Linked DNA regions of Anolis sagrei. The protein of the gene in region 1 purifies or fractionates together with the protein of each later gene. This does not show direct contact. Links are inferred from orthologs where the notes say so. Each region holds a gene or a part of one and is shown on either strand. Other genes may lie near its edges. The genes, in order: SCAP and SREBF2.

Region 1 (15,717 bases):
TTGGCATTCCTGTTTTCTCTGCAGGAAGGATTACATCAAAGAAGACCAAATGGAAGGCCTACCCTGGGGACACGCCTGTGTCTGGCTTTATCTGCCAAGGCAAACAACCTGGTACTGATAGGCATAGATAACCAGGTACCGGGCAAGGTTTAGCACCTCAATATTCATGGAGCGGCTGAGTTGCCTGGCTGGAATCCTTGCAGGCGAGGACGCCGGTCTCAAAAGATAACTCGAAAGAGTGAAATGCTTTGCAGACGGGGAGTCGGGGCACGCAATCGGAGCGGCGCCAGAGTCAGCAAAGGAACCTGATCTGAATCTGTGAATACAAGGAGAGCTGGCTCCAAGCCTGATGGCAGGGTGGCAGCCTGTGTCCCGGGACAGGGTTCAAGCGCAGGGCAAAGGGACTTGACCCAAGGCCAAAAGGGGACACTCTGCCGTGGAATGCACCAGTGGGAAAGGAAGGAGGAAAGGCTTTCTCGCTCCCTTCTTGGAAAGCTCCAGCCCTTTGGGGGAAAACCCATCTTCAATTACAGGGCTTCTCAACCTTCCTAGTGCCGCGACCCCTTCATACAGTTCCCCATGTTGTGGAGACCCCCAACCATAACATTATTTTCGTTGCTACTCCATAACTGTAATTTTGCTGCTGTTATGAATTGTCGTGTAAATATCTAATCTGCAAGATGGACCAAATTGGGCACAAATACCCAATACATCCAAATTTGAATACTGGTGGGGTTGGAGGGGATTGATTTCATCATTTGGGAGTTGTAGTTGCTGGGGTTTATAGTTCACCTACAATCAAAGAGCATTCTGAGCTCTGCCAACAATGGAATTGAACCAAACTTGGCACACAGAACTCCCATGACCAACAGAAAATACTGGAAGGGTTTGGTGAGCATTGATCTTGAGTTTGGGAGTTGTAGTTCACCTACATCCAGAGAGCATTGTGGACTCAAACAGTGATGGATCTGAACCAAACTTGGCATGAATACTCAATATGCCCAAATGTGAACACTGGTGGAGTTTGGGGAAAATAGACTTTGACATTTGGGAGTTGTAGTTGCTGAGATTTATAGTTTGCCTACAATCAAAGAGCATTCTGAGCTCCACAATGGAATTGAACCAATCTTGGCACACACAGCTCCCATGACCAAGAGAAAGCACTGGAAGGGTTTGGTGGGCATTGACCTTGAGTTTGGGAGTTGTAGTTCACCTACATCCAGAGAGCATTGTGGACTCAAACAGTGATGGATCTGAACCAAACTTGGCATGAATACTCAATATGCCCAAATGTGAACACTGGTGGAGTTTGGGGAAAATAGACCTTGACATTTGGGAGTTGTAATTGCTGGGATTTATAGATCACCTATAATCAAATAGCACTCTGAACCCACCCCAAAATGGATGTGCACCAAACATGGCACACTACCAACATGACCAACATTAACTACTGGTGGGGTTGGGGATTGTCATTCACCAACACGGATGAGGACAGGCAGAGAGATCTTCAGCCTTCTCTGCCAAAAGGGTTCCTAAGACCATCAGAAATATGTGTTTTCTGGTGGTCTTTGGCGACCCCTCTGAAACCCCCTCATGACCCCCCCAGGGGTCCCGACCCAAGGTTGAGAAACACTGCTGTAAATAAATAAATAGTTCACCTACACCCAGAGAGCACTGTGGACTCAAAAATGATGGATCTGGACCAAACTTTGCACAGATACTCAGTATGCACAAATGTGAACACTGGTGGGGTTTGGGGAAAATAGGCCTTGACATTTGGGAGTTGTAGTTGCTGGGATTTATAGTTTGCCTACAATCAAAGAGCATTCTGAGCTCCACAATGGAATTGAACCAATCTTGGCACACAGAACTCCCATGACCAACAGAAAATACTGGAAGGGTTTGCTGAGCATTGATCTTGAGTTTGGGAGTTGTAGTTCACCTACACCCAGAGAGCACTGTGGACTCAAACCATGATGGATCTAGATCAAACTTGACACATATTCAATATGCCCAAATGTGAACAGTGGTGGAGTTTGGGGAAAATAGACTTTGACATTTGGGAGTTGTAGTTGCTGAGATTTATAGTTTGCCTACAATCAAAGAGCATTCTGAGCTCCACAATGGAATTGAACCAATCTTGGCACACACAGCTCCCATGACCAATAGAAAATACTGGAAGGGTTTGGTGAGCATGGACATTGAGTTTGGGAGTTGTAGTTCAGCTATATCCAGAGAGCACTGTGGACTCAAACAATGATGGATCTGGACCAAACTTGGCACAGATACTCAATATGCCCAAATGTGAACACTGGTGGAGTTTGGGGAAAATAGACCTTGACATTTGGGAGTTGTAGTTGCTGGGATTTATAGTTCGTCTACAATCAAAGAGCATTTTGAACTCTACCAACAATGGAATTGAACCAATCTTGGCACACAGAGCTCCCATGACCAATAGAAAATACTGGAAGGGTTTGGTGAGCATTGACCTTGAGTTTGGGAGTTGTAGTTCACCTATATCCAGAGAGCACTGTGGACTCAAACAATGATGGATCTGCACCAAACCCGATTCCTAAAACCATCAGAAATATGTTTTTTCTGGTGGTCTTTGATGACCCCCCTGACACCCCCTCGCGACCCCCCCAAGGGTCTCGACCCCTAGTTTGTGAAATGCTGTTCTAGTAGAAGATACAGGCTGAATGGCCATCTGTAAGGGGTGCTTTGATTGTGTCTTCCTGCATAGCATGGGATGGGACTATTATTATTATTATTATTATTATTATTATCATTACTGTGTTTGTTTACATCCCACTTTTTCTCTTCATGTGGCAACTCAAAGTGGCTCATAACTAAAAGCATTGCAATACAGCTTATGTATATACACTAGATTCACCCACCACGCGTTGCTGTGGCCAACCTTCCCTCCCTCTTTGTCTCCTTTCTTTCTCTCCTTCCTTCCTTCCTTCCTTCCCTCCCTCTTTCCTTCCTTCCTTCCCTCTTCTTCTTTCCCTTCTTCCTTCTTTCTTCTCTGTTTCTTTTCTCGCTTACTTTGCTCTTTGGTTCCATCCTTCCTTGTCTGTTTCCTTCCTTCCCTATTTCTCTCTTTCATTCCTTCTCTTCTTCCTTCCTTCCCTCTTTCACTTTTTTATTTCATTCTCTCCTTCCTTCCTTCCTTCCTTCCTTCCTTCCTTCCTTCCTTCCTTCCTTCCTTCCTTCCTTCCCTCCCTCCCTCCCTCCCTCCCTCCCTCCCTCCCTCCCTCTTTCCTTCCTTCCTTCCTTCCCTCCCTCTTTTTCTTTCCCTTCTTCTTTCTTCCTTCTCTGTTTCTTTTCTCACTTCCTTTGCTTTTTGGTTCCATCCTTCCTTGTCCCTTTCCTTCCTTCCCTCCTTCCCTCTTTCACTTTTTTATTTCATTCTCTCCTTCCAGCCTTCTCTACCTTTCTTTCTTTCCTTCTCTCCTTCTTTCTCTCCCTCCTTCTCTCCCTCCTTTCCCCTTTCTGTGTATGTGTTTTGTGTGTGCATATATGTCTGTATATATTTGTATATATGTGTGTTTGTGCATATATGTGGTTTTGCGCATGCGTTGTAATGTATTTTTTGTTGTTTTTTTGGCTTTTTAAGTCTCTTCTGCTGTATTTTTCTGTGTTTTTATGCAGGATAGTCACTTGTTGGCTTGATCAGTATCTTGTGTCCAAATTTTGTGTCAATTCACCCAGTGGTTATTGAGTTACGTTAATCCCACAAACGAATATATATATACAGTATTAAAATAGTATTAAACTATATGGCTCCTCCTCCAGCGGCATCTGCATCACAAGTGGGATACAAACATCTAGACCTCATTTATACTGATATATAATATAGTTTGAAACTGTATTACATGGCAATGTAAACAGAGTTCTTATCAGCCTTCCATGTTTGGTAGGGTTAAGGCGGACATGGGCAAACTTTGGTCCTCCAGGTGTTTTGGACTTCAACTCCCACAATTCCTAACAGCCGGTATGCTGTTAGGAATTGTGGGAGTTGAAGTCCAAAACACCCGGAAGATCGAAGTTGGTCCATGCCTGCTATAGACTTTGCAAAACTACGACTCCCAGGATCCAACAGCATGTGCCCATGAGTGTTGAAGTGGTGTCAAACTGGATTCATTCTGTAGTGAAGATGCACCCCGAGATAAATCTGCAAAAGTCCACAAGTGTGGAGGACGGATAGTGCAATGCTTCTGCATCTTCTGTCATGGCCAAAATCTTAATCCCTTTGTTCTTCCTCATGTCATAAGTGCTATTACATAAGTAATGAGACGTTCTTTCGTTTGTGCCAAGGCCATTGAGTAAGCCCTGGGATGAGGACACAAGCTTTGCCCCATTGTGTGGGAAGTTTGGTAAGTATTCAATGGCAGGTGCGGAGCTGGATTAACTCTTGCACAACAGGAAAGTGCGCAGCTGAGCTGCACCATTGCACATTCAGTCGCACAAGAGTGGAATTGACACACTCCCGAGCAGAATCACCTCTGATGACTTTAAGCACCACACCAGCTGGGTAAAATCAGCAATTTAGGAATTGTTCATTCGTTCAGTCGTTTCTGACTCTTTGTGACTTCATGGACCAGCCCACGCCAAAGCTCCCTGTTGGTTGTCACCATCCCCAGCTCCTTCAAGGTCAATCCAGTCACTTCAAGGATGCCATCCATCCGCCTCGCCCTTCGTCGGCCCCTCTTCCTTTTTCCTTCCATTTCCCCCAGCATCATTGTCTTCTCTAAGCTTTCCTTTCTTCTCATGATGTGGCATTCAAAGGACTTCAACTTTGTCTCTCCTATCCATCCCTCCAGTGAGCAGTCAGGCTTCATTTCCTGGAGGATGGACTGGTTGGGTCTTCTCGCAGTCCAAGGCACTCTCAGCACTTTCCTCCCAACACCACAGCTCAAAAGCATCGATCTTCCTTCGCTCAGCCTTCCCTAAGGTCCAGCTCTCACATCCGTAGGTGACTACAGGGAAGACCATGGCTTTGACTAGGCAATGGATCTTGGTTGCCAGTCTGATGTCTCTACTCTTGACTATTTGATCGAGACTGGACATTGCTCTCCTCCCAAGAAGGAAGCGTCTCCTGATTTCCTGGCCACAGTCTGCATCTGCACTCATCTTTGCGCCTAGAAATACAAAGTCTGTCACGGCCTCCACATTTTCTCCCTCTATTTCCCAGTTGTCAATCATTCTTGTCACCATAATCTTGGTTTTTTTAATGTTTAATTGCAACCCAGCTTTTGCGCTTTCTTCTTTCACCTTGATTAGAAGGCTCCTCAGCTCCTCCTCGCTTTCGGCCATCAGAGTGGTGTCATCTGCATATCTGAGGTTGTTAATGTTTCTTCCAGCCATTTTCACCCCAGCTTTGCATTCCTCAAGCCCCGCACATCCTCGCATGATGTGTTCTGCATACAAGTTAAAAAGGTTGGGTGAGAGGATGCAGCCTTGCCGGACGCCTTTCCCAATCTTGAACCAGTCTGTTGTTCCGTGGTCACTTCTGACTGTTGCTCCTTGGTCCTTGTACAGATTCCTCAGGAGAGAGACAAGGTGGCTTGGTATGCCCAGACCACCAAGAACTTGCCACAATTTATTGTGACCTACACAATCAAAGGCTTTGGAATAGTCAACGAAACAGAAATAGATGTTTTTCTGAAACTTCCTGCCTTTCTCCATTCTCCAGCATCCGGATATTGGCAATCTGGTTCCTCTCTCGTTCCTCTGCCTTTTCTAAACCCAGCTTGAACATCTGGCAACTCTCGCTCCATGTCTTGCTGGAGTCTTCCTTGCAGGATCTTGAGCATTCCCTTCCTGGCATGAGGAGAAATAAGGGCCACTGTACGTTTGAGCAGTCTTTCGCATTTCCCTTTTTTGGTATGGGGATATAAGTTGATTTTTTCCAGTCTGGTGGCCATTCTTGTGTTTCCCATATTTGCTGGCATATGGCATGCATCACCTTGACAGCATCATCTTTTAAGATTTTAAACAGTTCAGCTGGGATCCCGTCGTCTCCTGCTGCCTTGTTGTTAGCAATGCTTCTTAAGGCCCATTCCACCTCACTCCTCAGGATGTCTGGTTCTAATTCATTCACCACACCGTCAAAACTCTCCTCGATATTATTATCCTTCCTATACAGATCTTCTGTATAGTCTCGCCACTTTCACTTGATCTCTTCAGCTTCTGTTAGGTCTCTGCCATCTTTGTTTTTAAGGCCCATTCCACCTCACTCCTCAGGATGTCTGGTTCTAATTCATTCACCACACTGTCAAAACTCTCCTCGATATTATTATCCTTCCTATACAGATCTTCTGTATAGTCTCGCCACCTTCTCTTGATCTCTTCAGCTTCTGTTAGGTCCCTGCCATCTTTGTTTTTAAGGCCCATTCCACCTCACTCCTCAGGATGTCTGGTTCTAATTCATTCACCACACCGTCAAAACTCTCCTCGATATTATTATCCTTCCTATACAGATCTTCTGTATAGTCTCGCCACCTTCTCTTGATCTCTTCAGCTTCTGTTAGGTCCCTGCCATCTTTGTTTTTAAGGCCCATTCCACCTCACTCCTCAGGATGTCTGGTTCTAATTCATTCACCACACCGTCAAAACTCTCCTCGATATTATTATCCTTCCTATACAGATCTTCTGTATAGTCTCGCCACCTTCTCTTGATCTCTTCAGCTTCTGTTAGGTCCCTGTCATCTTTGTTTTTAAGGCCCATTCCACCTCACTCCTCAGGATGTCTGGTTCTAATTCATTCACCACACCGTCAAAACTCTCCTCGATATTATTATCCTTCCTATACAGATCTTTTGTATAGTCTCGCCACCTTCTCTTGATCTCTTCAGCTTCTGTTAGGTCCCTGCCATCTTTGTTTTTAAGGCCCATTCCACTTCACTCCTCACGATGTCTGGTTCTAATTCATTCACCACACCGTCAAAACTCTCCTCGATATTATTATCCTTCCTATACAGATCTTCTGTATAGTCTCGCCACCTTCTCTTGATCTCTTCAGCTTCTGTTAGGTCCCTGCCATCTTTGTTTTTAAGGCCCATTCCACCTCACTCCTCAGGATGTCTGGTTCTAATTCATTCACCACACCGTCAAAACTCTCCTCGATATTATTATCCTTCCTATACATATCTTCTGTATAGTCTCGCCACCTTCTCTTGATCTCTTCAGCTTCTGTTAGGTCCCTGCCATCTTTGTTTTTAAGGCCCATTCCACCTCACTCCTCAGGATGTCTGGTTCTAATTCATTCACCACACCGTCAAAACTCTCCTCGATATTATTATCCTTCCTATACATATCTTCTGTATAGTCTCGCCACCTTCTCTTGATCTCTTCAGCTTCTGTTAGGTCCCTGCCATCTTTGTTTTTAAGGCCCATTCCACCTCACTCCTCAGGATGTCTGGTTCTAATTCATTCACCACACCGTCAAAACTCTCCTCGATATTATTATCCTTCCTATACAGATCTTTTGTATAGTCTCGCCACCTTCTCTTGATCTCTTCAGCTTCTGTTAGGTCCCTGCCATCTTTGTTTTTAAGGCCCATTCCACCTCACTCCTCAGGATGTCTGGTTCTAATTCATTCACCACACCGTCAAAACTCTCCTCGATATTATTATCCTTCCTATACATATCTTCTGTATAGTCTCGCCACCTTCTCTTGATCTCTTCAGCTTCTGTTAGGTCCCTGCCATCTTTGTTTTTAAGGCCCATTCCACTTCACTCCTCAGGATGTCTGGTTCTAATTCATTCACCACACCGTCAAAACTCTCCTCGATATTATTATCCTTCCTATACAGATCTTCTGTATAGTCTTGCCACCTTCTCTTGATTATTTATGTAGATTACTGCTTATACTCACCAATCAGGTTTTCTAGGTGCAAGGTTTGCCAAATCCTAGGAATAGAGGAAGGAAATTATTATTATTATTGATGATGAGGATGATGAAGAAAACCATAATATTTTGTCTTAAATCCTTGTAAATGAACGAAAAGCAAGCAATTTTGAGAAATACAAACAAACATTGTTATGTGTAGAGATAGGTTATATAGCTGGAGTTACTCCCATGACAGCTTTAAGGCTCTTCCTGGAGCATGCGCACAATCTTCGTCCCGGCGCTAGGACCAAGCGGAAGCTTTTGCAGCAGTTGGCATCAGCGAGCGGAGGGCGTGGCTTAGCAGAGCAGAAGAGAAAAAAAAAACACCCGGTGGCGCATGCGCGCAAAAGGTTGAAGTCTAGGGCAGGAGAAATGGCGGAAAGGGTTTGTTCCTCCCTTACTCGCGGGCTCTTTCTACGCATGCGCACGAAAAAGAGGCGGAGCGACGGAAGCCGGGAAGCGGCGAAGGAGGAGAACGAGGAGAAGGCGAAAGCGGGCGGCGTGTGAGGAGGCGCGGAGGGGAAGAAAGGAAGGAAGGAGGCGGTTGGAGAGCTGTTCCCCGTCTTTTTTTGAGGTGAGAAGGGGAAGGGAGAGAGGGAGGCTCCGTAGGCCGCGCCTGGGGCTGAGGGGAGCCGCACTACTCCCAATCAGGCTCCCTTTGGGCCTGTTTTGGGGACCCTTTGAGGGAGGCCTCGACCTGTTGAACTCCTCCTTCCTCAATGGCGATTAGGAACCAGCCTGGGAAGCCGTTTCAGTGTTGTAGTTACAATATTTGAATGGGTTTTAGGTGATCTTCGGTTTGATTGTAATGTTTACATAGAATCACAGAATCCTAGAGTTGGAAGAGACCTCCTGGGCCATCCAGTCCAACCCCATTCTGCCAAGAAACAGGAATATTGCATTCAAACCACCCCTGACAGATGGCCATCCAGCCCCTGTTTAAAAGCTTCCAAAGAAGGAGCCTCCACCACACTCTGGGGCAGAGAGTTCCACTGCTGAACGGCTCTCACAGCCAGGAAGTTCTTCCTCTTCCTCATGTTCAGATGGAATCTCCTCTCTTGTAGTTTGAAGCCATTGTTCCCTTGCGTCCTAGTCTCCAGGGAAGCAGAAAACAAGCTTGCTCCCTCCTCCCTGTGGCTTCCTTTCACATATTTATACATGGCTATCATATTTCCTCTCGGCCTTCTCTTCTTCAGGCTAAACATGCCCAGCTCCTTAAGCCGCTCCTCATAGGGCTTGTTCTCCAAACTCTTGATCATTTTAGTCGCCCTCCTCTGGACACATTCCAGCTTGTCAATCTCTCTCTTGAGTTGTGGTGCCCAGAATTGGACACAATATTCCAGGTGTGGTCTAACTAAAGCGGAATAGAGCCTGAGGAGCATGACTTTCCTAGATCTAGACACTAGGCTCCTCTTGATGCAGGACAAAATTCCATTGGGGTTTTTTTTTGCCGCCACATCACATTGTTGGCTCATGTTTAACTTGTTGTCCACGAGGACTCCGAGATCTTTTTCACACGTACTGCTCTCGAGCCAGGCCTCATCGTCCCTCATTCTGTCTCTTTGCATTTCGTTTTTTCTGCCTAAGTGGAGTATCTTGCATTTGTCCCTGTTGAACTTCATTTTTTTTTAGTTTTGGCCAATCATCTCTCTAATCTCTCAAGATTATTTTGAATCCTGCTCCTGTCCTCTGGAGTATTGGCTATCCCTCCCAATTTGGTGTCGTCTGCAAACTTGATGATCCTGCCTTCTAGCCCTTCATCTAAGTCATTAATAAAGATGTTGAACAGGACCGGGCCCAGGACAGAACCCTGCTGATGGCACTCCACTAGTCACTTCTTTCCAAGATGAAGAGGAAGCATTGGTGAGCACCCTCTGCGTTCGTCCATTTAACCAATTACTGATCCATCTCACCGTAGTTTTGCCTAGCCCACATTGGACTAGTTTGTTTGAGTTCAGAGGAGAGCAACTGCTTTGGGAGACGGTGGTCGGGCATCCGGACAACGTGGCCGGTCCAGCGGAGTTGATGGCGGAGGACCATCGCTTCAGTGCTGGTGGTCTTTGCTTCTTCCAGCATGCTGACGTTTGTCCGCTTGTCTTCCCAAGAGAATTGCAGGATTTTCCGGAGACAGCGCTGATGGAATCGTTCCAGGAGTTGCATGTGATGTCTGTAGACAGTCCACCTCTCACAGGTGTATAGCAGGGTTGGGAGGACAATAGCTTTATAAACCTTGGTCTCCCTACCGATGCCCCGGTCCTCAAACACTCTCTGCTTCATTGGGAAAAATGCTGCACTCGCAGAGCTCAGGCGGTGTTGTATTTCAGTGTCAATGTTGACTTTGGTGGAGAGGTGGTGGCCATGGGAGTGGAAATGATCAACATTTTGTAATGTTACACCAATAAGCTTTATCTCTGGCGTTGGAGAGGGATTGGCTGGTGACTGCTGGAAGAGCACTTTGGTTTTCTTGATGTTCAATGACAGGCCGAGCTTCTCCTATGCTCTGCGAAGGTGTTTAGAGTGGCTTGTAGATCTTCTTCTGAATGTGCACAGATGACGTTGTCATCAGCATACTGGAGTTGTATAACAGATGTTGTTGTAACCTTGGTTTTGGCTTTCAGTCTGCTGAGGTTAAAGAGCTTGCCATTTGTCCGATAGATGATTTCCACTCCGGTGGGAAGCTTCCCATCAACAAGGTGAAGTATCATAGTGATGAAGATGGAGAATAAAGTTGGGGCAATAACACATCCCTGTTTGATGCCTGATTCCACCTTAAATGGGTCACTTTGGGAGCCATTGCTGTCCAAGACTGTTGTCATCATGGAGGAGCCGCAGGATGTTCACATGCATGTCGTCTATAACCACAAGTCTACACCATTATCCTCCACCTCCTCCATTCAGTATTATCCACACACTTATCTAGTATGTCTTAGAGTTCATTCACTCTTTTGTTTTTGTTTTTTCCCTTCCCTCCCCCCCCCCCACCCCAAATACCACATTTCCATTAGAACTTTAACTCCATCCATGAGCTCAGCTTTTCCCATCACTGTACAATATTTACATTGGCTTCGCCTCTTTTTATCTATTCTGAATATATGAACCATTTCTCTTTAATTTTCCTCATTTTATCTTCCTTCATATCCTCACAGGTTACATTTGCAATAATTTCTGATTGGATCTGGTCAAACAAATATTTATTCCAATTAGCCATATTCGGTTTTTTTGCATCTTTCCAACCCCAAGCTATCACAGAATCATTGCTTTGAAGAAGCAAGAATCATTGCTTTGAAGAAATCTTGATATTTTGGATTGATTTTCTTGTTTCCTAATATTCCCATGAACATCAACTCCATATTTATTTGAAGTGGTATCTTAAATATTTTCTCCATTTTTTCTGTTATTTGTTCTCAAAATGTTTTTGCCTTTGGACATTCCCACCACATATGTGCATGCCAGAAGCATTTATGAGCCCCCTGGGGGGTTGAGAAAGGCGGGGTACAAATAAGTTTCCAACAGACCTCACAACCTCTGAGGATGTCTGCCATAGATGCAGGCGAAATGTCAGGAGAGAATGCTTCTGGAATACGGCCATACAACCCAGAAAAATCACAACAACCCAGTAATTCTGGCTATGAAAGCCTTCGACAATACCTTGGAGACAGTGTTATTCACAATATTTTTAATAATTTTGTGAACAGAACAAGGCTTGTGTACATTGAATCTCCAGAAAGGAAACGTGCCACTCTCTCAAACACCCAGGGGGACAATTTTGGATTTTGAAATTCTGATTAAAGGGATACTCTAATCTTCCCCCTTGGATATTGGAATATTTGGATATACATCATGAAATATTTTGGAAATAGAACCCTGGTTAATTTACATTAGTTAATTAGTTAATTTAAGTTTCATATGCACCTTATACACTTAGCCTGGAGACCTGGGTTTTGGTTGATTGAACAAACCTTGGAGCTGGCCCAACATTTCTATCTCTTCCTTATCTCTTTTGAAAGTTTAGGCCTGTGGGTGGCTGTGAATCTGTCAGGTTTCTCCCTCTCAGGCCCAAATTGCTGATAACATGCTCATTGTTTTCCCCCTTCTTCAAACATTTACACAGTGAATATCTACCTGTCAGGCAGGTTATACCAACTGGCCTAGTTTGGATGGAGGTGGCCATTCTGACTCTTGGACCTTTCTGTTTCCATGGCTGGTTAGTGGCTCTGTGTATTGTTATTTTCATTACCCTCACCAAACTGACAAATCAATAAATTGAGCATATCAAGGAAAGGAGACTGGCATAATTTGCTCCCGATTAAGCAGGGTTTCCACTTTGCATGTGGTTTGTTTAGGGCAGTGGTTCTCAACCTATAAGTCCCCAGATGTTTTGGCCTTCAACTCCAGAAATCTTAACACCTGGTAAACTGGGTGGGATTTCTGGGAGTTGCAGGCCAAAACACCTGGGGACCCACAGGTTGAGAACCACTGGTTAAGAACCACTCTTTGCCCCGGAGTGTGGTGGAGGCTCCTTCTTTGGAAGCTTTTAAGCAGAGGCTGGATGGCCATCTGTCAGGGGTGATTTGAATGCAATATTCCTGCTTCTTGGCAGGGGGTTGGACTGGATGGCCCATGAGGTCTCTTCCAACTCTTTGATTCTATGATTCTATGATTCTAAGGGAAGATTGCCTCTTGGGAGCCTTCTCCATCTACTTCCAGCCTGGAAACACATAGAATCAAAGAGCTGGAAGAGACCTCATGGGCCATCCAGTCCAACCCCCTATGAAGAAGCTGGAATATTGCATTCAAATCACCCCTGACAGATGGCCATCCAGCCTCTGTTTATTGTCCATTTGTCCATCTAAATGAGAACAAGGGCCTAAAAAGTAGGAACGGGTCTGAGATCAACCATCAACTTCCATGGCTGGATGTAGGGCTGAAACTGACAAGAGCTTTCCATAGAAACTTTATTTGAGTGTGATAAATTAGTTCTGTAATCTTGTCTGCAGTTGTTCTTAGTGGCAATTGTTGGATCTTATGAGTGTGGGATGGTGAAAGAATCTGGCGGGGACGAGACACAGGGCCTTCTCAGTGGTGGCCCTTGGCTGTGGAACGCCCTATCTGCAGAAATTAGATCGCCCCCCTCTCTGTTAGCATTTTGGAGGAAAGTGAAGACTTGGTTGTTCAAGCAGGCATTTGAATAGGCAGTGTAACAAATATAGGATATGTCCCTAATATGTCCCTAAATGCACTTTACTAGTGATCTAGGATTGTCTGCTCGCTCCATCCCTCTCCAAATACCTATCCTAGTTATATGTCACCTGGTCATGCCCAGCATTATTTTTAAATTTTTAATTACTACATTTGGCCCTGCCACAGGTTTTTAATGCATCATGGTGTTATTGTTAATGTTTACTGCTTTGTTTATGATTTTATTTATTGTCTGTATTGTTGTTGTTGTTTTTACTGATGTATTTGGGCTCGGCCTCTTGTAAGCTGCACCGAGTCCTTCGGGAGATGGTAGCGGGGTATAAATAAAGGTTTATTATTATTATTATTATTATTATTATTATTATTAATTGATTGTTATAATGCTATTGTTTTAATTGTTTTTAACTGTTTATGATGTTTTAAGCATTGAATTTTGCTATTGTGAACCGCTCTGAGTCGCCTGAGGGCTGAGAAGAGCGGTATACAAATATAGTAAATAAATAAATAAACAAAATCTGCAAAGTGGTTGGGAAATATATTGCCACTTGTGAGTAGTAGAAGGTCTAAAGTTGTAGAAGATTTCATTAACCATCCCTTTCATATAGAAATAAAATAATCGCCATTTTTGCAGGACTTTTAAATATTCAGAGGGCTTTGGAAACAATCGCAACCCTTAAAACAAATCCTGTAAACTTTGTTTATTAAAAGTATTTGTTATAAGTAGCCTACCTTGTCTCTAAGGTATTAGCACTCATATATCTGATGGTGAAATCATTTGAGAGAGTAGTTTGCCAGAGACCCATGGGAGCAAATAACCCAGGCAAGATTCAGCCCAGGGCCTTCCTGATTGATGGTTTGCCCTCTTCACATCTCTGCTAATGTGCAACTATGTGGAGATACTGTGTCTGTGAACAGGACTCAGGTTGCGTTGTGAAGCCAGTGGAAAATACACCTTGGCAGCACTCTTCACCTCCACTCTGAGTCACTGCAGATTTCACCATCACAGTTTCTTCCTGTGTATTTGTTCAAGCTCATTGTGCGTAAATGTGTGAGTCAGGGCTGGGGGCAACTGGGATTTCAGGCGTGTGGATGGCATTCAAAAAATGGTGCTGGTCAGGATGGCATGTCAAGCCCTGCTCAGATGCAAATAGATGAGATTTCCGACAATCTGTTTATTATACTTGTCTGTATGCCTTGATGCATAATCAGATTAAATCTTAATATGGATTTTAATATCGTATTTATATGTATTTGCAATGGTGTTTTTAATTGGTTTTTAAGTCACACTGGCCTTTTATTTGCAAGGAAAGACAAAACAGAAATTGAATATGCATGTGTAGGATCCAAACCTAACCAAAGTGGGTGGTGTCTGTGTCTGCTAGATTTATCTGATATCATAATTTGCTTATAAAATAACATGCAGATGTTTACCCTTGGAATCAACTTTGCATCATACTGCCTTGAGGATAGAAAGTATGATACCATTCTGATATATCCTGCATCTGGTAAATACATGAAATTTACAAAAGAGATATATTAATCTAAATTCTGTGCAATTATTTGTATGCAGAACATGATATTATGAAGTTGGAGAACCTCAAACTGTTAAAATATGAATGTTGCTAGCCTAGAACTCTGGAACTCACTCCCTAAAGACATCAGACAGGCCCCAACTCTGGCAGTCTTTAGGAGGAACTTGAAGACGTGGTCGTTCCAGTGTGCCTTCCCGGAATAATGATCCCATAGCACTTTGTCCTCCAAAGCACTTTACATTTCTTTAGGTCTGCTCGTATGCCCTTCCACAAGCACCACTATCAACTTTTCGTCCATGTCCCAGCATCACTTCCAATTTTAATTTTACATTTGGCCTTCCCACTGTTTTTAATTGTGTGCTGTCTTATTGATAATGTTGTATATCTTATTGTCTATGTTTTTTTTTTAATTTTTATTACTTGTATTGTTGTTTTACTTCTTGTATTGTTGTATTTGGGCCTCATGTAAACCGCACCAAGTACCTTCGGGAGATGGTAGCGGGGTACAAATAAAGTGTTGTTGTTATGGTTATTATTATTATTATTATTATTTCTTTAGCTCTTGTGTGCCTGTTACATCTCATTCCCTTGCAGAACATTAGCTTGTACCATGACAACACAGTTAGGCTACTAGTAAGGACTAATTCTAGGAAACATTAACTAATGATAGGTTGTTTGTTTTCAAATACAGGGAGTACTTTGTCAATATAGCACTCTTCTATTGCACGCCTGTAATTATCACATTTTAATCAGTGAGTTGATGCTCATTTAATAGAATCTTTACTCATGTATTTGTCAACTTGGCCTTTGCATAATTAACATATTTTTCTCCCTTATTATTACAATAAGTTTTAGAATCATTTTTAAGATTTAAAGCTTGAAATGTTGCGGACGTTTGGCAGCATAGAGTAGAATCATATGTTTATCTAACATATGACGTACCTCTAAATGACTTGTTGCTGTATAAATCCAAAAGTGAGATGTTTATAAGATGAAACTCATCTTATAAACACACATAAAATAGACATGAAGCCAGGATCTCCTCTGTCATTTGGAAGTTGAAAAGAAAAGATTCATTGGACATACTG
Region 2 (16,040 bases), on another chromosome or scaffold:
TTGGGTCTGGGAAGATGGTTAGAAAGGGTATGCATCATGAAGGTGTGTCCTAGAATCATAGAGTTGGAAGAGACCTCCTGGGCCATCAGGTCCAACCCCCTGCCAAGAAACAGGAAAATTGTATTCAAGTCTTGACTTGAACAAGGAAAGAAAGGCACGATAGTAGACTGTTTTGCATCATAGTTCTGTATGAACTGGTTCTGTTGGTATTGGGTCTCGATGCTGCTCTTAATGGTCATAATATTGTCAAAAACAGTATTACCAGCGCTGCACAAGGCTTAATTGCCGAAAATGTCATGAAGTTGAAGACCTCGTTCTCTTTTCTTATGACAGACTAATCTGTTTTTCCCACCAATACTTGGACATATCGGTGATGCAGACTGCCATATAAATTCCTTTGTCCAGTGATGAAAGCAGGAAACAGTTTTGTCTGTGGCTTCTGACTTTTGACTTTTTGTTACAGTCCCTTCCCTCACTTAATACATGCTTTAATATGTTGGTGATGACCCTTATTTTGAAATGACAGGAGGACAAGAATCAAATGTACCACTGTTCTAATACAGAAGATAAAACAGAGAGTCTGACAATGTGATTTTGTTCTCTATTCTTACCATTACAAGTATACTAAAAAAACCTAGCAGTTGGGTATTCCTCTTCCAATCAGTGGAATTTTGAGGATGTGTTCTTGCTAATCTACTACCTTATTGTTCCAGGAAAAAACTGATTTTTTTCTTGACCTTCCAGCTGTTTCATGTTGGCTTCTTCCTAGAGCAGTGGTTCTCAACCTGGGGTCCTCAGATGTTTTTGGCCTAAAACTCCCAGAAATCCCAGCCAGTTTACCAGCTGTTAGGGTTTCTGAGAGTTGAAGGCTAAAACTTCTGGGGACCCACAGGTTGAGAACCACTGTCCTAGAGCTACGCAGTTAAGCTTTCAATTATGCTATTGCAGTGGTTCTCAACTTGTGGGTCCCCAGATGTTTTTGGCTTTCAACTCCCAGAAATCCTAACAGCTGGTAAACTGGCTGGGATTTCTGGGAGTTGTAGGCCAAAACACCTGGGGACCCACAGGTTGAGAAACACTGTACTATTGGCTTTATATTAGAGAAAGACTGACATTGGCCATAGTCAATGCTCTCTTTCCATTTCATATTTCTCCACTGATGAGTTGAATTGTGGATTCACACATTAACACATGAGCACACTCTGGGCATTTGGCCCCAAAATGACTCTGTTTTGGCACAATGGGTAGCTTTTGTCCAGGACTGGAATTGATCCAGACCAAGAAAAATCTCAAAATTCAGATGACTGGGGCATCGTACTTCCCCATCCTGTATGACCACTTGCTGTGCTATCACTCGGCACACATGTTACTTCTATCAAGGCCAGTTTTGGATAAAATTTTATTTTCAGGCCTTGAATGAATTGCACAGCTGTCTAGGGTAGCTTGCTCTTGCCAATGGAAGATTATTTTGTGAGGAAGGAGGGTATTTCTGTGGATGCTGCAGATTTCGATGTGCTGCCTTCAGGCTGTTTACAAGGCTAAAGATGGAGATTGCTTTTATTTTCTATGAAGAGAGATGGTTACGCTTTGTTTGTTTTTCCGATATGTATTTAAACTGGAAATTAACTTTGCGTTTCTTGAATAAAATTGAACGTTTTAAAAAACCACCCAAATCTGATGCCTAGTTCATGAACCGTTTGTGTTTTGGAAACACTGATAAAAGTCACATGCTCCTGTATCTGGTCACGAGAGATGACTGACTCCTCCTATAGATACAGATATAATATTATAAGCTGCCATATGAGATTTTAGAGTCTGTCACGACTTTAATTCAGAATATATTTGTTCTTCATTCTTCTGATTCTTCTAGCTCAGTTCTGGAGCAGTTGTAGGGATTCCTGAAACAATCTTTTAACTATTACATGGGAATACATTGCTTCTCATGCCCCGGGGGGGGGGGGGGGGGCTTTAAAGCATAAATGTTGACATCTATATAAATAAAAATGTACTGTTTGTTTGTGGGATTAACATAACTCAAAAAACACTGGACAAATTGACACCAAATTTGGACACAATACACCTAACAACCCAATGTATGTCCTTCACTCAAAAAAATGATTTTGTAATTTGGGAGTTGTAGTTGCTGGATTTATAGTACACCCACAATCAAAGAGCATTCTGAACTCCACCAATGATGGAATTTAACCACTCTTGGGACACAGAACTCCTTTGATCAACAGAAAGCACTAGAAGGGTTTCGTAGGCATTTAACTTGAGTTTGGGAGTTGTAGTTCACCAACATCCAGAGAGCACTATGGACTCAAACAATGATGGATCTGGACCAAACTTGGCACGAATATTCCATATGCCCAACTAGAAACACAGATGGAGCTTGGGGGAAATAGACCATGGCATTTGGGAGTTGTAGTTACTGGGATTTATAGTTCACCTACAATCAAAGAGCATTCTGAACCCCAAGAATGATAGAATTGGGGCAAACTTCCCATACAGAACCCCTATGACCAATAGAAAATACTTAAGGCCATCCAGTCCAACCCCCTTCAGGGCAAGAAAACTTAATACTGTTTACCCACAAGCATAAAGAAATTACATATATTAGAAACCAACACTTTCTCATTACTTTATTTTCCAGATCACCAGACTGGGCCATAGCAACGCGTGGCAGGGGGCAACTAGTTCATTATAAATGCTTCATAGTATCCTCAGTATTTGGTTTTCTTTAAATACATTTTAAGTACTATAGCTACTGGCCCAAAATATTAGTATTTTGGAATTTAAATGGTTGCTATATTAAACTCTACGGCACCTATCAGCTGCAAATTAACTTTCAAATGAGCTTTGTTTCAGGGCTTGTTGAAGCACAAGTTGGATTGTAAACCTTTTCTTGCATTTTCTAGCTATGGACTTGCAGTGATCTCATGTCCCGTTATAACACTGTTGCCTCCTTGTCTAACTGTTTTTTAAGTGTTTTCACTAGCTGATATTTGGAAAATGAAGATAATCTAAATCATGGCCCTTTTTCATTCTTTTTGTTTTAGACAGTGATTCCATACCCCTTTTACAGCAGGCTGCACTCAGGGAAACGATAGCTGGGTGAGGGAGAAACAACCTGCATAAACAAACCTACACAGAGAAAAACATTATATTGAGTCATTATTTCAGCCTGGTGGTGCAGCAGGTTAAACCGCTGAGCTGGTGAACTTGCTGACCAAAAGGACGCCTGTTCAAATCTGGGATCAGGGTGAGCTCCCACTGTTAGCCCAGTTCCTGCCAACCTAGCAGTTCAAAAACATGCAAATGAGAGTAGATCAATAGGTACCACTTTGGCAGGAAGGTACCGGCACTTCATGCAGTCATGACCTTGACATGTCTATGGACAATGCCAGCTCTTCGGCTTAGAAATGGAGATAAGCACCATTCCCCAGAGTCGGACACGAATAGACTTAATGTCAGGGAAAACTTTACCTTTACTTTCATTGTTTGGTAAAATACTTGCAATAGAAGATTTACAAACATTTTTGCACTCTTATTGTTGCAGTATTCAAGTGTATCTTTTATTAAAAGCCTAAGTGCATGTGCTTTTTTGGTCTTTTTCATTTTTATTTTATGTTTTATTGTGGTAGATTGATCAATGCTTTATGGTTACTTTATTCAACACATAAATGCTAGATTTGGCATTTTTTCTTTATTGGCAGTTCTTATCAACAAGAAATGTGTCCATATTTTTGTTTTTAATTTTTCTGTGTCTCCTGTTTCTGCATCCATTAGTACAGTATTTGGACACCAAGACACTAGAAGCATATGAAGAATGTAAGCCTAAATTTTATTTATTTTGATGGAGAGTAATCCATTATGCCTAAAAATGGCTGCTTATATTCAAATTATTTGTTGTTGTTTTTGTTTGTTTCCAACTTATGGTGACCTTAGGCAAACTTAGCACAGGGTTTTGTTTGCAATATTTGTTTAGAGGGGGGTTGCCTTTTCCTCTTCTGAGGCCGAGACAGTATGACTTGCCCTAAATCACCCAGTGTGTTTCATGGATGAGCAGGGATTCGAATCTCAGTCTCCAGAGTCATCATCCTAACACTCAAACCACTATAACATGCTGGCACTGTTTATATTTTAACCCCAGAAATAATCATGCTCCAATTGACTTTCTGTATTGTGTTGCTTCCGTGAATCTGAAATAATAGGGCCAAGGAGGAATAGAAAAAGGGTTATGCTTGGTAAAGGACTGCCATGAACACACTTATTCCCGAAGCTGTACCTGAGAATGTTAAAGAAGCTCCAGCTATTGCTTTAATTCTTAAATTTCTTGCTATCTCTTGTGAAAATATGGCATGATTTAGTTGGTGGTGATGGTGGAGGGGAAGCTATAAAGTTGCAGAACAACATTTTATCTATAGTTAATGCTGGCTGAATTCCAGGAAAAACTCTCCTATCAATGTTAAAGATATGGAAAGGTTAATATGTTTTTACAGTGATAGAGCTTTTATTATTTTCAGTTTACCTTAGAACAGCGTTTCTCAACCTGGGGGTCAGGACCCCTGGGGAGGTTGCCAGGGTGTGTCAGAGGGGTCGCCAAAGACCATCAGAAAACACAGTATTTTTCTGCTGGTCATGTGGATTCTGTGTGGGAAGTTTGGCTCAATTCTATCGTTGGTGGAGTTCAGAATGCTCTTTAATTGTAGGTAAACTATAAATTCCAGCATCTACAACTCCCAAATATCAAGGTCTATTTTCCGCAAACTCCACCAGTATTATGAACTCATTGCACTATGGACTCATCATTGTTGGAGTCCATAGTGCTCTCTGGATGTGGGTGAACTACAACTCCAAAACTCAAGGTCAGTGCCCACTAAACCCTTCCAGTATTTTCAGTTGGTCATGGGAGTTCTGTGTGCCAAGTTTTGGTTCGATTCCATCATTGCTGGAGTTCAGAATGTTCTTTGATTGTAGGTGAACTATAAATCTCAGCAGCTACAACTCCCAAATGACAAATCAATCCCTCCAATCCCACCAGTGTTCAAATTTGGGTGTATCGGGTATTTGTGCCAAATTTGGTCAAGTGAATGAAACTACATCCTGCGTATCAGATATTTACATTATGATTCATAACTGTAACAAAATTACATTTATGAAGTAGCAGCAAAAATAATTTTATGGTTGGGGGGCCACCACAACATGAGGAACTGTATTAAGGGGTTGCTGCATTAGGAAGATTGAGAACCACTAGCTAAGAGGAACTCTTAGTGAGTTGTGTTGACTGTACATAAATGGTGTGAGGGTTGTTTTCAAACATACATAAAAATAAATAACTCTAAAGTACAGTTCCCAGTGACCAATGTCTCAAGAAAATTCTCTTAGAGCTTAAATTAAAATTAAACCCATAATTTGAGGAGAGGAAAGATGGACTTGCTTTGAAATCCGATGGTATCCATACAGCAAGTGGATGGCACATAGACATTTATAAAATGGTTAATAAAATTTGATAAGTCATTAAACCATTGGGAACGTTTTATGTAATTGTACCATGCTGTCACCATATAATGTATTGGTTTGAAATTGCATCCATTATTTTGAAATACCCTGTATATCTTGCTCAAAGTACTCAATTTCTCATGGGCTTGGAAAGCAACTAGTGAGTCATTCATTACACAACAGATGTTTAGGTGGGTGATGTGGAAAAGTAAAACGTTGGTTGTGATGTGAAATGTTTTTTTAAGGAGACAGCACAGAATGCCTCTTTCCTCGCTCACAGTTATGAGAAATGCAGTTGTGAATATGGACCTAAACTTTTTCATCAAAATATCTAGCCTAAGGGTGTCAAACTCATTTTCCTCAAGAGCCACATCAGCCCTGTGGTTGCCTTCAGAGCACCGTTGAATCTATGGACAGAGAATCCATGGATACAGAAGGTCCACTATAATTTTTTAAAAGGAGTGGTCAGTGCTCTTCTGTTTATACCCTATTTGCATTCTAGATCTTATTGAATGAGAGCTCTCATCACTTTTCATTATTTGCCATACAGACCTAGTAATAATGGGAATAGCAACCCAACAACACTTGTGGCTCTGAGGTTGGGGAAAGGTTAAAGAGCATTTGAAAGTCAGAAATCATATCCACAAGCCTTCTATCTAAATTCAAACCCCACTATCCTGACAAAACAGGACAATCTGCAGCGTTTCAGATTTATTACAACTCCCATCAGCTCTAATCATGTTGTCTAATGATGAGGAATACAGAACTGTATGTAGTCTAGCATCTGGAGGGCCACATAAAATGGCATGGAAGGCCAGATCTGGCCCATGGGCCTTGAGTTTGACATGTGATATAACCAATTTAGATCCTGGACAGTGCATTTTGTTGCAGATTTGCATGGTGATCCCTCTGTAGACGGAACGTCTGTGCAGTAAAGTTCTGTTTGCTGAAACTATTGAAAGAAATATGCAGTGTGTGCAATGTTCCATGACATTGTTTTCACTGCACTAAAGTAGAAAAACTTGATGTTTCCCATCAGCCCATAGTGATGGATGGTTGCAGTTTTTATCTATGCATTCTGCTCTTTGGAGGAGCAACTCTGCGGATGGGTGGAGCACCTATTAATTTTTGGGTTTGAGGGCTTGAGTTTAGCTATTAGATTATAGCTGTGTACTAAATGGGAAATTAAAACACATTATTAGTAGGAAGGAGCCCCTGGTGGTGCAGTGGTTTAAACCGCTGAGCTGCTGAACTTGCTGATCGAAAGGTCACAGGTTCGAATCCGGGGAGTGGGGTGAGCTGCTACTGTTAGCCCCAGCTTCTGCAAACCTAGCAGTTCGGGAAAAAATGCAAATGTGAGTAGATCAAGAGGTCCCATTCTGGCGGGAAGGTAATGGCACTCCATGCAGTCATGCTGGCCACATGACCTTGGAGGTGTCTACGGACAATGCTGGCTCTTCGGCTTAGAAATGGAGATGAGCTCCAACCCCCAGTCAGACACGACTGGACTTAATGTCAGGGGAAAACCTTTACCTTTACTATTAGTAGGAAAAGGGAGGAAATGGAACACTGCTGTGTTTTCCCATTGTTCCTCTTTTTGTTTTACTTGTCTAAAAAGGTGTATAATCTTTTGGCATTTTAATGCTCGACAGATTATATTATGGCACACCCTTTCCTAGACGTATGAATCATTATTCTAAACTGACAAGTGTATTGTCCTCTCCATACATGGGCATATAGACAGAGATTATAAATAGTGGGGCCAAATACTTATCACATGTGCAACTTGTGACTGTGAGCTTTCAGAAAATTCTCCATCTCCAAGTAGAACATCACTCCTATCTCAAAATATGAAGCACAAACATTCTGGCTATACCATCAAGCTACTTGCTAGCTGTCTTTCCCTCCTTCTTTTCACCTCACTTGATGAAAAGGTTTTGGAGAATTAGAAAACATAAGGAACTAAAACTCGTCAATTAAGTATAACACCTGAATTCAATTTATGATTTTCCTGGCAGAGTTACTGCTATGCCACTTAGTGGTTCTGAGTTAATTCTCAGTTCTGCTCCCATTAATCAAGAAACCACAAGGTTAGTCCCAAGAAGATGGTTCTTCTCAATCTATCCAGGTTATGACCATACAGTGCATTATGCAAATAACAGAATCAGCCTCACGGGACACTGGCCGAAGATACATTTGACACTTTCGCTGAAGTACAATGGCATCACAGATTGTACCAAAACAAACTAAATATATGTGATGCTGCAAATCCTTACTATATATATATAAGTATGCTTATTTATATATATGTTTGAACCACTAAGGCTCTTATATGGTTTGATGAGTCTGAACCAAACTTGACACACATACCTCATGATTCAAGTTAAAATAATTGAGAGAAGGTGGTGGTTGTGGTGGTCTGATTGGAACTGTAGTCCACCCACACTTGGAAAGCCATGTAAATCCCACCAGTGGTGAACCTGGATCAAACTAAACACACATACCCATCATGACCAACTTAAAAATACTAGCAGGGTGTGTAGGAATTGTCAGAGGACAATGGGAGTTACTACTCTGAGGATTGTATACTATTGAACCGTGACAGTTAAAAGCAGTTTCAAACTGCATTAATTCAACAGTGTAAGATGCACTCTCAGAGACTGATGGCTCAATCTATCTATATAAATAAAAATGTAATGTTCGTTTGTGGGATTAACATAACTCAAAAAGCACTGGGTGAATTGACACCACATTTGGACACGATACACCTATCAGGCCAACGAGCAACCATCACTTATAAAAACACTGAAAAACACAGAAGAGACTTAAAAAACAAAAATTACATTACAATACATGCGCAAAACTACACACACACATATATATGTATATGCAAATACACATAAATGCACATATAAACAAATACACACACACACACACACAAAACACATATACACAGGGGATGGCTAGTCTATATAAATAAAAATGTAATGTTCGTTTGTGGGATTAACTCAAAAACCACTGGACAAATTGACACCTAATTTGGACACAATACACCTATCAGGTGAACGAGTGACCATCACTCATAAAAACACTGAAAAACATAGCAGAAGAGACTTAAAAAGCCAAAAAAACTAAAATTACATTACAACTCATGTGCAAAACTACATTTATATGCAAACACACATATACACTAACTGGGCCACAACAATGTGTTGCAGGGGATGGCTAGTCTATATAAATAAAAATGTAATGTTCATTTGTAGGATTAATATAACTCAAAAACCACTGGACAAATCAACACCAAATTTGGACACAATACATCTATTAGGCGAACGAGTGACCATCACTCATAAAAACACTGAAAAACACAGCAGAAGAGACTTAAAAAGCCCAAAAACAAAAATTACATTACAACTCATGTGCCAAACCACATTTATATGCAAACACACATATACACAACTGGGCCGCAACAATGCATGGCAGGGGATGGCTAGTCTATATAAATAAAAACGTAATGTTCATTTCATATATATTCATATATACACAAACACACATATACACGAATATATATGCATACATACACACACAAAACACATATACACAGACTGGGCCACAGCAATGTGTTGCAGGGGACAGCTAGTCTATATAAATAAAAACATGATGTTCATTGCATATATATGGTCATATATATGATCATATAAACACAATCACACACATATCTACACATATACACAAATATATATGCATATGCACACACACACAAAACACATATACACAGACTGGGCCACAGCAACGCATGGCAGGGGAAGGCTAGTACTAAATAACAGGCCTGGGCCAACTTGGGCCCTCCCTCCAAGTGTTTTGGACTTCAACTCCCACCCTTCCTAACAGCCCTAGGCCCCTTCCTTTTTCCTCTCAGCCGCTTAAGGAAAAGGAAAGGGTCTGAGGCTGTTAGGAATTGTGGGAGTTGAAGTCCAAAACAGCTGGAGGGAGGGCCCAAGTTTTGCGGTGCCCAACTGTGGAGTTGTGTGGCTTTTCTCGAGGACCAGTATATAATACAGCTCTTAAATGGCCAGGCCACTTCTGAATAATTCATGAGCTCCCCGCCTCCTTCATGCATATTCAAATCCGGGAAGGCCCAACAGGCGAGGGACGGGCGGGGGATGCCCCTCATGTCCAAAGCCAAGCTGCTGATCGCTGACGCGCCATCACACCACGAGCCGCTCCGCGCGCTGATTGGTCGAGGCGGACCTGGTCTCATTGACAACCAGCCCGGCGCGCGCTCCTGGCAGGTGGAGGGGCGGGGCCTCGGCGAAGGAGGGAGGCCCAAGATGGCGGCGGCCTGTGAGGCCGGGAGCGCAGGCAGCCTCCGCTGAAGCCGCGCCCGGTTGGAAGGAGGAAGAGGAGGAGGAGGAGGAAGGGTTCAGGTCCCGGGTGTCGCCGGCGCCTCCGAGGCCGCGCTGGCCATGGAGAGCGGCGAGCTCAGCAGCATGGAGACCATGGAGACCCTAACGGAGCTGGGCGACGAGCTCACGCTGGGAGACATCGACGGTGAGTCCCTCTCCCGCGCCCCCCTCAGGAGCAGGCCGGAAGTGCATCCACACGGCGGAATTAATGCAGTTTGACACCACTTTGATTGCCAGGCCTCGATGCTGTGGAGTTTGGTGAGGCTCCAGGATTCTTTGGCAGAGAAGGTTAAAGAACTACAACTTCCCTGAGTCTATAAAACAGGCATGGGCAAACTTGGGCCCTCCAGGTGTTTTGGACTTCAACTCCCACCATTCCTAACAGCCTACCCACTGGATTGCTATAGGTTTTCGGGGCTGTATGGCCATGTCCCAGAAGCATTCTCTCCTGATGTTTCACTCACATCTGTGGCAGAGGTTGTGAGACTTCTTGGAAACTAGACAAGTGAGGTTTATATATCTGTGGAATGTCCAGGGTGGAAGAAAGAACTCTTGTCTGCTTGAGGCAAATGTGAATGTTGCAATTGGCCACCTTGATTAGCATTTAATGGCCTTGCAGCTTCAAAGCCTGGCTGACTGCTTCATGGTGAAATCCTTTGGAGGTGTTAGCTGGCCCTGATTGATTCTTGTATAGAATTCCCCTGCTTTTTGAGTGTTGCTCTTTATTAACTGTCATAATTTTTGAGTTTTTTTAATACTGGTAGCCAGATTTTGTTCATTTTCATGGTTTCTTCTTTCTGTTGAAATTGTCCACATGCTTGTGGATTTCAGTGGCTTCTCTGTGTAGTCTGACATGATAGTTGTTAGACCAGCTGTTAGGAATTGTGGGAGCTGAAGTCCTAAACACCTGGAGGGCCCAAGTTTGCCCGTGCCTGTTCTATACTACTGAGCCCTGGCAGTTAAAGTGGTGCCAAACTGCATTAATTCTACAGCGTGGACATTCTGTACTTTTAAAAAAAGTTTTGTCTGAAGGAGTGGATTGTTTTTGCTTGAAGCCCCATCCCACCCAGTTTTCCATATTGATAGACTCCAGAATTACTATTACAATACGATTACAGTAGGGTGAGACAAAAGTCACAAAGTGGTTTCTGCATTTAATAACTCCTTTTTGTTTTTAATTTACCATGCCATAGTATTGTATACCATATATACAGAAAATACATTTACATCACTTGTGAAAAGTAAAATCTTGTAAAAGGCATCTAATACTAATACTACTACTACTACTACTACTACTAATAATAATAATAATAATAAAGCTTTGTGTGCTACCACCATCTCTCTGAAGGGAGTTGGGGCAGCTCACAGAAGAATATACCCGCAGTCACCAAGTTACAAACAAAATAGGATCTGTAGGTTTGTTCTTAAGTTGAACTTGTATGTAAGTTGGTAAGTGTAACTCAGCCCAACATATATATTTATTAGCTTTGGGTTGCATAGGGAATGGTTAATGCACTGCCTTGGTGTTTGTTTTATGTCTGTGCCACTGTGCAGAAGATTTTGCTTGTGAAAGCCAGGTTTTTTTTGTGTCAGGAGCTACTTGAGAAACTGCAACTTGCTTGTGGTGAGAGAGAATTAATTGGCCGTCTGCAAGGACGTTGCCCAGGGGACGCCTGGATGTTTTAGCACCCTGTGGGAGGCTTCTCTTGTGTCCCCACATGGGAAGCTGGATCTGACAAACGGGAGCTCACCCCACTCCCTGGATTTGAACCGTAGACCTTTCAACAGTCCTGGCAGCACAAGGATTTAACCCATTGCGCCACTGGGAAATCCAGCCGGGCAGTGAAGAGAACTAGGTCTGCTAAAGAGAAGAATAAATGGGTCCTAAATTAAGCTGGAACTTTCCCTAGAAACCAAGATGACTCAACTGAGACTGTCGTATTTTGGCCTTGTCAGGAGAAGACATGACTCACTGGAAAATATTATGCATGGAAAGTGGAGGATATTAGGGAAAGAAGGAAGACTGCATTCCTGAGAGATAGCCTCATTCAATGAAGCCTGGGCGGCCCTGACTTGAATAAGGTGGTGGAGGATAGGGCAACATGGGAGTCTCTCATTCATGTGGTCACCATAAGCCATAGAATTATAGAATTGAAAGAGACCACAAGGGCCAACCAGTCCAACCCTCTGCCATGAAGGAAAAGCACAATCAAAGCACCCCCAACAGATGATCATCGAGCCTCTATCAGACTCTGAGGCAGCAAGTACCACTGCAGAACAGCTCTTATAATCAGGAAGTTCTTCCTAATGTTTAGGTGGAATCTCCTTACTTGTCACTTGTACCCTGGTTTCTAGGGCAGCAGAAAACAAACCTGCTCCCTCTTCCTTATGACAGCCTTTCCAAGTTGACTTGGGGGCAATTAACAGCAAAAACATATCCAGAAGATGAGGAAATTTTGGACTTAGTTGTGTCATTTTGCTGGTGCTATTGCTACACTTGTGGATACTAAGGATACATATCAAATATATGACAAATGGAATTATTGAGTCTGTTGGGTGGACACACATATGTAAATGGTAGCCTAGTATTAACTGGTGTTACACAGCAGTGAGTCATAGTGAGATTTCTGGGAAAATATTGTGGTGTGACTGGCATCTTGGGGGCATACTGATGAGGCATTCTTTGGGCTGTAATGGTTTAAGGTGTGACATAAGAGTTTTGCTTATTTCTCTTGATTCACTTGGATATAGTTGGTGGTCGCTGTTTGCATTTTGGAGGTCTAATTAAGGTCTTATTGTTAGTAATGTTAGAAAGTTTTAGTAATATTGCAGCCAAATTTAGTAAGCCAGAATTATACCTGAATTTGAGAACAGGGAAGTACAGTACTTTAAAACCTATTATAGTCATTGAACTACAGGGGTGACTATCACCTCCATAAACTTGCCAAGAAAAAAAATTGGAGTAATCTCAGAATGGTACTTTTCAACAAACTCACGATATTTTTTTGAGATTCTACATTTACAGTATTCCTTAGTGATATGTCATGCAAAGCAATTGATAAAAGTAATGGAGAAGAATCACATTCTTAAGTAATTGTAAATACTTACTTAGGCGATCCCTCGCTTTCCGAGGATGATTGTCTTCCAATATTCTTGTGGGTCCGTATGTGGCTGTGGAGCCCTATTCTTGCTCTGCATCTTCTTCCGCAGTGAGGGCATTGGTTTCCAGGTGGAAGGCGGTCTCGGCTGGGGTTGGCTTGACGCGCCTTCCTCTTGGCACGTTTCTCTTTTTCACCCTTTACTCGTGCCTCCTCAAATTCTGCAGCATTGCTGGTCACAGCTGACCTCCAGCTGGAGCGGTCAAGGGCCAGGGCTTCCCAGTTCTCAGTGTCTATGCCAGAGTTTTTAAGGTTGGCTTTGAGCCCATCTTTAAATCTCTTTTCCTGTCCTCCAACATTCCGTTTTCCGTTCTTGAGTTCGGAGTAGAGCAGCTGCTTTGGGAGACGGTAGTCGGGCATCCGGACAACATGGCCGGTCCAGCGGAGTTGGTGGCGGAGGACCATCGCTTCAATGCTGGTGGTTTTTGCTTCTTCCAGCACACTGACGTTTGTCCGCTTGTCTTCCCAGGAGATTTGCAGGATTTTCCGGAGGCAGCGCTGATGGAATCGTTCCAGGAGTTGCATGTGACGTCTGTAGACAGTCCACGTCTCACAGGCATAAAGCAGGGTTGGGAGGACAATAGCTTTATAAACAAGCACCTTGGTATCCCTACGGATGTCCTGGTCCTCAAACACTCTCTGCTTTATTCGGAAAAATGCTGCGCTTGCAGAGCTCAGGCGGTGTTGTATTTCGGTGTCGATGTTGACCTTGGTGGAGAGGTGGCTGCCAAGGTAGCGGAAATGATCAACATTTTCTAATGTTACACCATTAAGCTGTATCACTGGCATTGGAGAGGGGTTGGCTGGTGCCTGCTGGAAAAGCACCTTGGTTTTTTCAATGTTCAATGACAAGCCGAGCTTCTCGTATGCTTCTGCAAAGGTGTTGAGAGTGGCTTGTAGATCTTCTTCTGAATGCGCACAGACGACGTTGTCATCAGCATACTGCAGTTCTATAACAGATGTTGTTGTAACCTTGGTTTTGGCTTTCAGTCTGCTGAGGTTGAATAGCTTGCCATCTGTCCGATAGATGATTTCCACTCCGGTGGGAAGCTTCCCATCAACAAGGTGAAGTATCATAGCGATGAAGATGGAGAATAGAGTTGGGGCAATAACACATCCCTGTTTGACACCCGATTCCACCTTAAATGGGTCACTTTCAATAGTCATTGAACTACAGGGGTGACTATCACCTCCATAAACTTGCCAAGAAAAAAAATTGGAGTAATCTCAGAATGGTACTTTTCAACAAACTCACGATATTTTTTTGAGATTCTACATTTACAGTATTCCTTAGTGATATGTCATGCAAAGCAATTGATAAAAGTAATGGAGAAGAATCACATTCTTAAGTAATTGTAAATAATGGTAGTAGTATAATACTTCATAAGGAACAAAAGTCTACCATTTTGTAGTTGCAACATCTGCTCTCTTTAAAAGTGCTTGCTGAACACTAGCTTTTCACAAACTGTAGAGAGCAGTGCGTACAACTAGCAATTCTATCCATATTCTCCCAAAACCATGTTACACTGAAAGGATACACCATACCACACATACACAGTTATACCAGGAAGATGCAGCTTTAATAATACTTAAAAAGAAGTAGCCAAGGGTATGCGTCTCTGTGTTAACCCTCCCACAACCACAGTATATATCAGTGGTTCTCAGCTTGTGGGTCCCCAGGTGTTTTGGCCTACAACTTCCAGAAATCCCAGCCAGTTTACCAGATGTTAGGATTTCTGGGAGTTGAAGGCCAAAACATCTGGCACTGGTATATATGTTTTACACTGAGGCCCTAATACTACTAGATACTTCACCTGAAGAAATTGGTTTATATCCAAGGGAAAGCTTGTATTAAAATAAAGACACCTAGTTTTAAGGGTGGTGCCAATTTCTTTTCTTTCCACCCCCCTTCCTCCTCCTTATTAAAATGGTTATCCAAATTTGAGTTAAGGTGTTTATATCTGCACTGCTTTCAAGTTCACTTTTTTACCTTAATTGTTTTACTAGTAACATTCTGGCTTAACAAACACCAACAATATACATGTTGTGCTGTGAAGAGAAAGTAGTTTTCTGCTCCTCATTTTAAAACTGAAATGCTAACGTAGTCCCTATATCTTGTCCAATTTAGGTTGACTAAAATAGGAATATCCAACATTTTAAAGTTTCTTTTGCTGAAACACTTATTTCCTTGTTACGTCCACTTGGCTCACTTTTGTACATTACTTGCAGTCTTAGTATTTATACACTTTCCAACTGGATAAATAACCGAGGTGGAAAATACATTATTTGCCAAAAAGGGAAAAAGGGTTTTCTTGAGATGTGACTCTAGAAGTGCTGGAAATAACTATTTGAGGTGTGTGGGAAGGTAAAATAAAAGTTAGATTTTCTTTGAAGACATATTTTGAAAATTTCAGGGTGCTTTTGTCATGCTGTCACCACACTTCATTCATGGAACCTTACCTGGGTTGGGGTTCTCAAAGTCATAATTTTCAATTGTCATCTCATGTTTTCCAACTACAGTGTTCCCTTGCTACTTTGCTGTTCGTTTTTAGCGGACTCACTGTTTTGCGGGTTTTTGAAAATATTAATTAAAAAATTAAATATTTACGTCTAGTGGAGGCCAGGGAGGCCAGAGCCTGGAAGTGAGGTGGCCTGAGGTGTAGTGAGGAAGGCCTGGCTCCCTGGCCTGCTGCTGCCTGTGTGGCTCCGAAGGCTCTGTGGAAGCCAAGGAGGCAGGTGCCCTTGGGATGGGCCGGGAGGTGGTTAAGGAAGGGCGGGTAAGAAAATAATATATAAAATAATGTATAAATATTAATATAGCATCCCTACTTTGTGGATTTTCGCTTATTGCAGGCGGTCCTGGAATGGAACCCTTGCGATAAGTGAGGGAACACTGTACTATACTTTTTCTTTCCACAAAGCTCTATCAAAGAAGAAAAGATGGGTTAGCTGTACAATGCCTTTTGAGTAGTAG

What was found.
Region 2: the proteins of SCAP (region 1) and SREBF2 purify together in Homo sapiens (affinity purification with western blotting; 3 studies listed by BioGRID and IntAct, with this or other methods). This does not show direct contact. The link is inferred for Anolis sagrei from reciprocal best matches to the Homo sapiens genes SCAP and SREBF2.

The regions. Positions count from the first base shown.
Region 1 is NC_090026.1:131,095,904-131,111,620, forward strand, and holds the start of SCAP (sterol regulatory element-binding protein cleavage-activating protein), read left to right. Parts: upstream 1-8,268; 5' UTR 8,269-8,472; intron 8,473-15,717. UniProt on the Homo sapiens protein: Escort protein required for cholesterol as well as lipid homeostasis.
Region 2 is NC_090025.1:161,123,031-161,139,070, reverse strand, and holds the start of SREBF2 (sterol regulatory element-binding protein 2), read left to right. Parts: upstream 1-9,791; 5' UTR 9,792-9,968; coding exon 9,969-10,053; intron 10,054-16,040.